Nothobranchius furzeri: one gene and its partners. The protein of the gene in region 1 binds, or shares a complex with, the protein of each later gene. Links are inferred from orthologs where the notes say so. Each region holds a gene or a part of one and is shown on either strand. Other genes may lie near its edges. The genes, in order: hdac3, gps2 and coro2aa.

Region 1 (4,104 bases):
TGTTTGTGTAGATGAAACTACAGGGTTATTTGCTGTGCAGAGAACTGGCCATGGATTTTCTGTGCCAGTTCACGTTCAGAGGAAAACATGGGGATGTCTCACAATATCAGATGTGAGCTGGAGGAATGTCAGCAATACCAGTTGCTGGCCCAGCGGAGCGGACTAGGCTTCAGTTTATATTAGCACCTTCGCTCACTAGATTACTGCCGAGAAACTGTGAAGGAGGTTTTTCATCAAGAGCACATCGTGATGGAAATGGTGGACCTTAAATGTTTTGGAGAGGCCAAAGCTGCTACATGCATAAAGAGTCAGAAAGCTGCCCAGATGGCACATGCTCCACTTTGTGTGAGGGTGGATTTTGGTGGATCCTCAACACAGATCTGTTTGTCTGTATTTGAGCCGGAAATACACAGTTTCTGCCATCTTGGCAGAATATTTGTGACTTACAATGCTCTGAGGAACACCTGGCATTGCGCTTGTGCAAAGCCACGAATATCGTGTCCTCATAAAAACATAGCTAAATGGCATCTCTTCCAGACACAGAGAGACATCTTCAAATCAACTGTACCACTATCATCAGGCACCCCATCACAGATGACTCAGGGGAGTTCTTCCTTTGAGGACAATGCTGCCGTTGAAAGGAGTATACGCTATATTTTTAAAGAGAAAAAAATTCCTGTATCTCTTCCAGAAAATGGATCATCAGAAACAGCTCTTTCCATGTGAAACGTTGTGCCAGGTGTGCCCAGAGCACCCAAACTTGATGAGGCTGTTCTAATCACCATTAAAGTGAGGATTGTCAGCATGATGGGAGTGATTGAGAGTAAGTTTTAATGAATATGATTAAACATCAGTGTGAAATAATTGGTTATTATTGTTCCTATACTAATGTTTTGACATTGATGTGATTTGTCTTTAACAGATGTTTCAACACACCATAGATTGTGTCCTCAGTGTCACATGGTCTGCAGATACCAGGAGTGGACAGATGGGCTTCACAACTTGGACAACCACGTTGTTTTGTCTCTTGAACTCTGCCTTTTTTTAAGAGAAAATCTGCAGGTGAGGATCACAAAAATAAAATATACTCATCTGAAGATTGCTTTAAAACGAGGATGGACATCATAGTTCTCCCTCTCTGGACACCTGCTCATTTCCAGTTGTGTGTAAGTCTTGTTTTTTGACACATACAAACTGTTAGAATGTTGCTATGCGTCTGAGATGTATTCAAGCTTTTATGACGCAGTTTCAAAAGTCTTTGATTGTGATCGCTTGCAATGACATCGTTTTCAGGTTTGAAGTCATGGCTAACTGTCTTTTAGGTACTGAAGCCACCTAAAAGAGAAATCCTCTTTCTTGACCCATTATACACAAAGGCAGGATTTGGTGGCCAACAATATGTTTCACTTTTGAGGTCACATTTTTATAAGCATTTTTGGTTTGTTCCAGAATTTTCAGGAACCTGTTCAGTGTCCCAGGTTAAGTGCATGATCATGTTCTGCTGATCTTGATTCTTCACACATACAGTACACTCACATGCTTTTTTATAAACTATATCAGCACGATGCTTCAACATTTTATTCTATTTCTCATCTTCACTTTCTGATCAAGTCAGTGATGCTGTCTTTAGATGAGTTTCAGACATAAATAGGGTCTTCAAACGTTTTAGTTTAACATAAAACACCATTAAATATTAGTTTATAAAATATGCCAGCCTCAAATTAAAGCTGAAAATGCTTTATTTTGACCAACTGTGAGCATGTGACTGTACTTTTTCATTTTGTTATGCTGTTTTGTTGAGGTCGTGTTCCTAAGGCCTGTAGTTACAGTTGGTGCTATTAGCAATAAACATTTAACACCCATCATGATGATGTCTGTTAACTTGTGAATGTGACTGTCTTGAAAAAAAGGAATCTTGCAGTGAAGCTCATTCCCGGGCAGTGGTCAGAAAAAAAGAGCTTTGACTTGAAGGTATGTGCTAGTTTAAGTGTATGGTGAATAATATGAATTACACTAGTCTTCTTTTAAGGGATTTTATTAATGAGCCTTTATTTTCAATGTTATACAGGGTTTTCCAAGACAAGACTATGGAGTTGACTGTGGGATCTTCATGCTGATGGTAATTTTTCTCTTCTCTTCTTGAGATTCATACAGAAGCTAATTTAAGCTTCTAAAAAAATTACATTTTTATTTTTTCTTCCAAATAGTCTGCTCTGTACGTGGCACTGGATGCACCATTTGACTATACTATAGTAAGTATTCTATTTACTTTCACAGCAATGGAGTCTTGAATCTTTTGAAAGTTGTTAAATATGTTTCATATTAATATTTTAGTCAGACATGCCCTACTTGCGTAAATGGTGGTGCTTGCTGTTGATGGAGAACTTTGATCTCAGGAGGTATTTATATTTTGACTTCTGTTCTATGTTGTGTCAAAGTTTACACACCTTAACAATATCAACATTTTCTGTTAAGCTCTGGCAAGCTGGAGAGAGGAAGCCAAAGCTGTGCTTGAAGGACAACACGTGCCCATTTTCAGACTGAAAAAGCGCAAGTTCCAGGAAGTCAGTCAGGTCAGTATTCACTTTAAACAGTAGTGTAATTACATGGTTAGTGACATTTGAATAACTGTTAAAAAACTGCAGCGTCTGCAGTGATGCGGACGCTGAGCCGATCTGTCGTGGGGAAGAGGGAGCTGAGCCAGAAAGCCAGGCTCTCGATTTACCGGTCGATCTACGTCCCAATCCTCACCTATGGTCATGAGCTTTGGGTAATGACCGAAAGAACGAGATCGCAGATACAAGCGGCCGAAATGAGTTTCCTCCGTAGGGTGGCCGGGCTCAGCCTTAGAGATAGGGTGAGGAGCTCGGACATTCAGGAGGGACTCGGAGTAGAACCGCTGCTCCTCCGGATCGAAAGGAGCCAGTTGAGGTGGTTTGGGCATCTGGTCAGGATGCCTCCTGGACGCCTCCCTGGGGAGGTGTTTCGGGCATGTCCTGCCGGCAGAAGGCCCCCGGGTCGACCCAGGACACGTTGGAGAGGTTACATCTCCAATCTGGTCCGGGAACGCCTTGGGGTCCTGCCGGAGGAGCTGGTGGACAAGGCCGGGGAGAGGACGGTCTGGAGCTCCCTAGTTGGGATGCTGCCCCCGCGACCCGGACCCGGATAAGCGGAGGAAGACGAAGACGAAGACGAAGTTAAAAAAACTGTTCTGCAACAGAGAAATAGCTGTGTTTTTATCCCCATTTACCTGACACAGGAGCCAGCAGTTGTTGAATATCTGCGTCCTGCTGTGCAGTGGGTTGTCCAAAACAATGCCAAAATATCTGTCCTTAAATCAAGGGGACCAGCAGAGGGTCTTAAGAGACATGTCAGAGGAAGACGACACTGGAGCAAGGGACATGTTCCTGTTTGTTTTTCAGTTTGCAGAGGACATGGAGCTCTTTTTGAAAGCACTTGCTGATGAGCAGGGACTAAGGGTCAGTGCTACTATGTTTGACATGTAATGGACAAATGAAGGCACTGACTGTGTTTGTTTGTTTGTTTGTTTAATATGTCATTGTTGTTGTTTTTGTTTTGTTTTTGTATAGTACAAAATTCCAATTAAACTTATTTCAAAATGTTGTTCACTTGATTCTATGTTCATACTTTTAAGAAAGGATTACAGAGTAACAGCATTAAATGTAAATGTAACAGCATTTTTTTTATACTTGTAATTTCAAAATAAAAAGCTTATTGTTGATATTAACAGTAAAGAATTGAAATCAATAATATTTGTATACATTTTAAACATTAGCACTCTGGGCTCTATCCTGGCCATTTGTGGCCACTTCACTTATTCTTTTTTTTTTTTCTTTTTTTTTTTGACTGCTGCACTGCAGTGGACCAAAAGAATGACACGGGTTTGATCTTAAGGATCTAATAGTTGTGTGTGTTGTGCATGACATTGCCACACAAATATGTATTTGCAAGATAGAGAAGAATAAATTATGACACATCAAATATTACATAGGCTGCAGTGAATTTCTGTTGATACAGACTGAAGCACATGCTAAAAACACTTTCTGCTGCTGTAAGTAAGCCTAACAGCTTCCAGGTCACCTA
Region 2 (4,229 bases), on another chromosome or scaffold:
AAAAAAAAAAAAACGCAGTAATTTCAAACATTTTGCTCTTACAGCATCAGTAAAGCCGGACTGTTGGTTGGCGTGTTCCAGCTGCTTCTGTAGAGATATCGTTGGTGCTGGGATGTATCCTGAAACAAACAATTCCTACTAAGTAAAAAAACAAAACATCAAGCGTAGTTTAAACAACAGCGCTGGGCTGCGACATACGGGTGAGACTCACCTGACTGAGAGGTAAAAGGGCTGTGAACAGGATAACCAGCCTGCTGATGAGGGAGGTACTGCATGGCTTGAAACGCAGACGCACCTGAAGGTAAACAGATGTTTAGACAACACTTCCTGTTGTCCTCAAGCTGATTCACGTTACTGATGCCTCACCTCTGATCTGAGAACTGCTGGGGAAACTGACGGGTACTGAAGGTCCTGGAGCATAGGAGGAGGGGTGCTGGGCCTGAGCCACCCCGTAAGGCTCATGGACGCCCTGGCTCCCGCTGAACTGTCCGTGTTCTGCTGAGCCTGAACTGAATGTGGGGGTCTGATAATGGCGGGTCTACAAGGGGAGATGAAGGTATTAAGAAAAGGGACTTCTTATTTCTTCTCACTTCTGTTTACACAGAGACTGTTTAGAATAAAAATGAGTACATTTGATGTTTAGGGGAGGCCAGAGATCCTGTTGACTTACAGGGATCACAGAAGCAGAGAACAGCTGTTTGCTGCGTTCTCCCAGCAGAGCGCCGGGTCGACTGTGGCTGACTGGGCTGCCTGAGACAACAGAAGTCACAGGACAGTTAAAACTACCGCCTACAGTTCCTGACGGAGGACCAGTGACGCTGTCTCACCTGGGATACTGAGGAGGTGCTGCCCTGTGTGCATGGACAGACTGGGCTGGTAGCTGGCTGATGTCAGGGTAGTGATGTCACTACAGAAACAGGAAGGGGCACAGGCTGAATTCCACCAGTCATTAAATGATTTAAAAAAAAAACTCCATAATATTATTGGGTTATACCTCTGCTCCTTTCTGCGCCTCTTCTCTTCTTCGTGGAGAACTTTCTTGAGTTGTAAAAACAACTGATGCTTCTCCTCTTGGAGTCCCTGCAGCTTTTCTTCCATCTTCATCACCTGGTGTTAAAATACAGGCACAGCATGTTTTTGTATCAGAGCTATTAACTCTGATAACGCCGTAAGCTCCAGTTGGTACAACATTCAGCAGCACGTGTCCTAACAAAAACTCCCTTACCTCACCATATCACCCCATCCTCAACAGCTTCATTGGATTCCACTGCAAGCCAGGATCGATTTTACAATTCTCCTGCTCACCTTCGAGGCCGTCCATAACCTTGACCCTCATTACCTAACAGATCTCCATGTCGTCACCTCGTCCCGTTCCCTCAGATCATCCTCCTCCTTCATCTCTCTGTGCCCTCTGTACGCCTCAGCGCCATGGGGAGTAGAGCCTTCTGTTTCATCGCTCCCAAACTCTGGACCTCCCTTCCCCCTCGCATCAGGAACATAAACTCACTTACTCGATTCAAAACCAGCTCAAGACTCACCTCTTTTTTAAACCACCCATCTACTTTGAATTTTAGAGTGCCTTGTTTATTTTCTTTCCTTGTACTTATGTTTACTTACTTACTTATTTAATAAATTTGTGTTTTTATCATGTACAGTCACCTTGAGTGTATAGAAAGGCACTTTTAAATAACATTTATTATTATTATTAACAAAAATAAAACAAGCTGAAGATGGAAATGTGATTTTTATGTTACCAACCTGTTCTTTGGTTTCCTCTAACGACATCCTCTCCTCTATCTCCTTTGTCCTCTTTCTCTCCTCCTCTTCCTTTAGCTTCTGCTCCATCATCTTGTCTACTTCCTCTTCCTCTGAAAATCACATTATTAAGCACGCAGAAAACCTACATTATTTAGAGAAGAATAAACACTAGATAAATGTAGACACATTTTGATAATTAAATGAACATTTTCATCGTTTAGATCAATTGCCTGTTGATGTTTGTGTCTTGGAGCAAAAATTGTCTAGTTTAGTAACCAATGACTGTAGAAAAGAACTGGATGGGGATGAGAACTGGGATTTTTTTTTAAAAGGACTGAGATTCTAGAACAGAATGGAACAAAATCAGAATTGTACAGAAAGTGTATTGTATCGGCTACAAGTTCAGTATATGGTCCGTTCAGTCAGAGAAGCACCAACACACCTTGCCTCTTGCGCTCCCTCTCCCTCATGATGTGCTTGTGGAGGGCTCTGGCCATCGCGTTAGACAGCTTGGGTCTCTCCAGCAGTGCGGGCATAGTGACAGGCAGCGGAGGGGCCAGCTAGTGTGGTTAAGAACATCATTACAGGGTCACCAAGCAGACCCGGAAATCATTACATTGGGCAGTACGTAGCTAGCGTGTAGCAACTCCATAATAAAGCACGAGTAAAATGGGATAAAATGCTATTAGCTGTAGGCTAGGCTAACAAATACTGTAATACACGTTATTATGAATATTTCTAACTTAAAACTCTCCTGCAAACACGAATACATTTTGAAACACAAGCTATGTGCTTCTTCACAAGCAAAACTGTGACAAATTAGTTTTTTGGGGACACATAGGGAGTTACGGTTTGCTAGCTAGATGCAAAGCACGTCGCCGTGTTGCCTGGTTTAGATCGACTTTACTTGAATGTCAATTTGCAAAATGTATTTAAACTTACTTTTGTCGTTTTGTGAGTCGTTTACGAAGAATTTAAATATGCTCCAGTATTCTATCTGTGGCGTATTTAGCTTAAACTTCTGCGCAGGTATAAATGAGCAAGGAGCGGTTTTGGGCCCGGGTGAGGAAGTCAATTTGCACTTTCGGTGGTGATGTTTCCTTCGCAAAGCATCAAGGGAATTGTAGTTTTACCCGTACTATTTATGAGCTTGGAAAATGGACAACATCCTTCATGGTTTTGACCAAGAATCTTTGTTCATTATCTGAAAACCTTAAAATAAGTACATCACACTTAAAATGTTTTTAGAGTTTAGCTCTTTGAAAAGTACTGTTGATTTAGAAAAGAATAGACTTTATTGATCCCACAGTGGGGGGAAATTCACTTCTCACAGAAGCACAAACGCTTAAAAGAATTATTTGAAGAACAACAAAAGGTACATGTATATATAAACACAAGCAGTAAGCTATTATCGTAACCTTCGACCACTAAAAACCATGAATGAAAATTTAAAAACTTGGGTTCCAGAACTATGCAGCATACTGCAAGTGGTCCATGCAGTCAGATGTTCGTCCGCTCCTGCACCCCTCATCTTCTGCTGCAGTAGACACGGCTGGACGTGTTGAAAGCACTTGAGAAGTCGAAGAACATTTTTCTCAGTGCTTTTTTGCACCTCAAGGTGTCGGGGCCTGGTGCTGCAGGTAGATGAGCACGTCCTCCACCTCATGTTTGGTTTCTATGCAAATTGCAGTGGATCTACTTCCAGGCTCACCATTGAACGTAAATGGGTAAAGATGAGTCTCTCCATAATCTTCCATCAGATGGGAGATCAAGGCGACTGGTCTGTAGTGGTCTGGTTCCCAGGGATGTGATGTTTTGGGAACTGGAACCACACAGGAGGTCGTCCACGTAACGTGGACCTGCTCCAACTGAAGGCTCAGGTTGAACATGTGCGTGACATGTGCGTCTTTGAGCACTCTGGGGCTGATCCCGCCAGGACCTGCAGCCTTCCTGCTCTTAAGCCACCTTGGTTCTCTCCTCACCTGGTCAGATTTAGGGGGGGTGGGGGGTGCTGAGGGTTGGTAGTGAGAGGAGATGCTGTTGAATGGTGTAAAATTTGTAAAATATGTAAAATTATTGAATTGGAATGTCCCACCGCATCTTACTCTGGATTTGTGTGTGTGATTAAGAACATTCAATTAGAAAACATGTACCTGATGAGCAATTTTCTACTATTAGAATAAAAAGTTTGTGTTTCCTGGTTAAACTGAGCACCCTCAAATCTTAAGGCAGTAAGTCACACCTTTCAAATAGAGGAACAGAATCTAAAGGCTGAACAAAACTGACGTTTGAACATCAACAACTGCTGTTCAAGATCCAAAATTCAATAAAAACCACAAATAGATTTCTAATAACATTTTATCAAGTACGGCATTGAATGGAGAGAGAGAGCCAGTAAAGCAGCTGTATACAGAGTTCAATCTGTTATTAAAGAAAACAAACTTTAAAAAAATTGCACTCAGCTTTACAAT
Region 3 (3,648 bases), on another chromosome or scaffold:
CTCTTCAGCACAGCTTACGACTACAAGGTGACACAAACCCCACCTGCACACCTGCGGCCCAATCTAGATTTGCTTCCAGCTTCTTTCTTAAATCACAAAATGAAGAGACTCTCAAACAGCTCCGGTGTGCTTTCACACACACAGCTGTGTTAAACGGCGTGAATTCCTTTGAGATATAAACAGAATGTGCTATTGTTGTGACCATTACAGCACGCCTCTAGATCCAGCTTCAGGCGTTAGCTTATTGACCAGAATGACATTATGGCTGATCATCTTCCTAGCATTGGTAATAAAAACGGACCATTAAGAGATATAATCTAGGTCGTAACCTTCCACGTTTTAAAAGTCTGGTTCAAACTTGTGTGTGTGTGTGTGTGTGTGTGTGTGTGTGTGTGTGTGCGTGTGCGTGCGTGCGTGCGTGTGTGTGTGTCCCTCCAGGTGATGATCTGGAACCTGGACTCTCCAGAGCAGGTGATGAAGAACCCGGTCCGGACCATCAGCCACCACACCGATGTGGTTCTGTCCATGTCCTTCAACACAGATGGCAGCCTCTTCGCCACCACCTGCAGGGACAGGAAGGTCCGGCTGATGGAGCCTCGCTCGGGGAACTTGCTGCAGGTATGCTACACATTAATGCGTGCAGTCATTGATCTTAGGTTGCTTCCACCTTTGAGTTCAGCTCAGGAGATCAGCACAAGCGTATCAGGAAGTAGCTTGTTTTTCATCCAGCTGAAGATTGAAACAAATTGTTTTTGTTTGCTAAAGGAAATCCAAACAGAGATAAATCTAGTGAGCTAATCATGGACTTTAGTTTTGCTAAATGAACTTATTGAACTTTAGAGTTTTTGGTCCGGTGTTGTAGGAGCCTCACAGCCGGGTGTTAGCTGGAGTCTCCATGGCTGCAGCACCGCGGCACTCATCCAGCACCACACAGCCAAAACTGACACCTTAGTCCTGGCCTGGATCACAGCGGGCTGCTCAGACCTCTGGGTCAGCAGCCACTGAAGCACACCCACTTTTAATTTAGTCCGCTGTCACTTTCTGTTGAACACTTTTGCTCAGAGACAATAAAACGCCGCAGCAGAAAAATAGATATTTTTATTTTATTTTAAACCTGTTGTGTGGAGATGTTTTCACAAAACAATCCATCATATTTACTTCAACCATCAGGTCTTTCAGATGGGAGACCTTCACTTTTTGTTGTCTTTTCTAACCCTTTTTTGCAGGAAGGTAACTGCAAAACACACAAAGCCAGTAAGGTGCTGATTCTTGGAAACATGAAGATGCTTTTGACGTCTGGCACCTCGCGCTACAACGATCGACAGATCGCTCTGTGGGATCAGGTGAGACCTGCTGCCCTTGGGCCCGTTTACAAATATTTATCTGTTCTGCTGCTCTGAGCTTGGGCATTTTCTGTAGATTATTCTTAAATACATCATGACAACTCAGACAAAACTGGCTTACTTCTGTTCTTGTGAAGAAATGTGGATTATGACTCGATTCTGCTCATCATTAGCTCCACGGGACCCCACGTTCCCTAAAGAGGACATCAGCTTCTTCTGCTATAATTCTGTTTGGACTCATTTATTATTTAGGGAGGCTGGATTTTATTTAAAATGTTTTATTTTGACTTGTTAAGAGACTTTTATTCTTAACTACTAGATATCCAAAAACAAAGATTTGTTTTTAAAGGGGACATACAATGCAAAACTCAGCTTTTGCATCCTTTTGTGCTGCCATGTGGGTCTTCACTGCCTCTATTACCACTCTAAACATGAAAGAAATCCATCCATACGTTCTTTGTCAGTGTTTGGTTTTAGGAATTATGTGCCTAAAATAAGCCAATTCAAAAAGTCCCCATTTGTGATATCACAAATTAGGATAGAACCGCCTTTCATGTGCAAGAGAGAGCTGCGGCCGGAGGAGCAGTGGCTCTCCCCAGAGCCCCCCTGGATATCAGAGATTCTCAGCTTTCAGCAGCCTGAGTGGGGGAGGGGGGAGCGTGTCCAGCTCCAGATTGTTTTCTTAAAGTGACAGAGCCCTGAAACGGCTCATTCTGGAAGGTACTGAAAATGCTAAGAATAAAACAACTGAAATAGCTTTATGTGAGAGGGATTTAAAGTTAAAGTCCCATTAGTTGTCACACACAGGTGTGTGTGCAAAATTTGTTCTCCGCATTTGACCCATCCCCTGGGGGAGCGGTGAGCAGCAGACACAGCCGCGCTCGGGAACCATTTGGTGGTTTAACCCCCCAATCCAACCCCTTAATGCTGAGTGTCAAGCAGGGAGGCATTGGGTCCCATTTTTTCAAAGTCTTTGGTATGACCCGACCAGGAATCGAACCCCTGATCTCCCAGTCTCAGGGCGGACACTCTACCACTAGACCACTGAGAAAAGATTTAGTGCAAAGAACGTTGGTTACGTATTATAACCCCAGATTCTATGAGTCTAGTCGCAGCCCTTAAGCTAGCTGCTATTGGAAGGATGATCTCAATTATTATTTTTCTTTGTAATTCTTATTTTCTGTTCTCTGTAATATACTTTGATTTTTAAAGTATCCTTGCTTGTTTTGTCTCCTTGTTTTAATTTACTGAACCCTGGTTTCATTGGTGATGAGATTTAGGCCCCCTCACCAGATACTGAAATCATTCCAGGTGTGTAGCTTCAGTGTGATGTGCAATGCTGCCATCTAGTGGACAGATAATAACTAAACCTCTCATCAGTTTACCTGAACTTGCCACAGTTTAAGATGAAATAAATTCAGAGTTGCACCTTTCCCCACGCAGCGCTCTGACCACACCCGGGAGTCTGCACTGTGAGGGGTGGGTGTGCATCGTGGGCGGGGGATTAAAGCAGAACATGGATTAGAGATGAAGCACTCAGTTTTAATTCAGCTCTTCTACAGCTGTGGATTAAAATGATTCAGTAGTTTCATATCAGGGGGATTTTCTTGTTTGTTGTGCATTTCATTTTTCGTAATCTTCGTGTGTGTTTGTAGGACGATCTGTCGGGGCCCTTGTTGCAGGAGAACCTGGATGGTTCCTCCGGGGTCATTTTCCCTTTCTACGACCCTGACACACACATGCTCTACCTAGCTGGCAAGGTAAATCCAAAACTGATTCATAATCCAAAATACTGCATCAGATCTTGTCTTCACAAGAGTTTCACTGTTTCACAGGGTGATGGAAACATCAGATATTATGAGATCAGCTCAGAAAAACCCTACATCCACTTTCTAACGGAGTATCGCTCACATGTACCTCAGAAAGGATTGGGTAAGGACCACACACATGGACGTAATTTTGGGGGGACAGGGGGGACATGTCCCCCCCACTTTTTCCAAAGTCAAATTTTGACCCCTGCACTTTTTAACCATCCAAAAACAATATTACGCTATATTAAATTGACACTGATTGAGCTCTAGGACCAAGCAGAAAACAACCGTTTGTGTTGAAGCCTGTTTCCCATCAGATAACTGTCCTCCAACCCCCCCCCCCCCCCCCCCCCCCGGGTCCCCCCCACTTCTAAAGTGAAAATTACGTCCATGACCACACACACACACACGTTTAAAAGTCTCAAACTTTAGGAAAAGTTACACAAAGTTCTCATGCGAGCTTCAAGTTTGGAAAACATCTGGTTGACGTTCCT

What was found.
Region 2: hdac3 (region 1) and gps2 share a complex: the UniProt entries of both Homo sapiens proteins name them as parts of the N-Cor repressor complex. The link is inferred for Nothobranchius furzeri from reciprocal best matches to the Homo sapiens genes HDAC3 and GPS2.
Region 3: hdac3 (region 1) and coro2aa share a complex: the UniProt entries of both Homo sapiens proteins name them as parts of the N-Cor repressor complex. The link is inferred for Nothobranchius furzeri from reciprocal best matches to the Homo sapiens genes HDAC3 and CORO2A.

What each region holds. Positions count from the first base shown.
Region 1 is NC_091741.1:31,103,598-31,107,701, forward strand, and holds the start of hdac3 (histone deacetylase 3), read left to right. Parts: upstream 1-1,187; 5' UTR 1,188-1,971; intron 1,972-2,068; 5' UTR 2,069-2,119; intron 2,120-2,207; 5' UTR 2,208-2,252; intron 2,253-2,334; 5' UTR 2,335-2,399; intron 2,400-2,475; 5' UTR 2,476-2,573; intron 2,574-4,104. UniProt on the Homo sapiens protein: Histone deacetylase that catalyzes the deacetylation of lysine residues on the N-terminal part of the core histones (H2A, H2B, H3 and H4), and some other non-histone substrates.
Region 2 is NC_091742.1:53,237,724-53,241,952, reverse strand, and holds the start of gps2 (G protein pathway suppressor 2), read right to left. Parts: upstream 2,841-4,229; 5' UTR 2,701-2,840; intron 2,319-2,700; 5' UTR 2,295-2,318; coding exon 2,201-2,294; intron 1,869-2,200; coding exon 1,759-1,868; intron 1,108-1,758; coding exon 995-1,107; intron 908-994; coding exon 828-907; intron 751-827; coding exon 671-750; intron 539-670; coding exon 367-538; intron 296-366; coding exon 212-295; intron 120-211; coding exon 43-119; intron 1-42. UniProt on the Homo sapiens protein: Key regulator of inflammation, lipid metabolism and mitochondrion homeostasis that acts by inhibiting the activity of the ubiquitin-conjugating enzyme UBE2N/Ubc13, thereby inhibiting 'Lys-63'-linked ubiquitination.
Region 3 is NC_091744.1:13,219,305-13,222,952, forward strand, and holds part of coro2aa (coronin-2A), read left to right. Parts: coding exon 1-27; intron 28-438; coding exon 439-618; intron 619-1,226; coding exon 1,227-1,343; intron 1,344-2,998; coding exon 2,999-3,103; intron 3,104-3,178; coding exon 3,179-3,275; intron 3,276-3,648.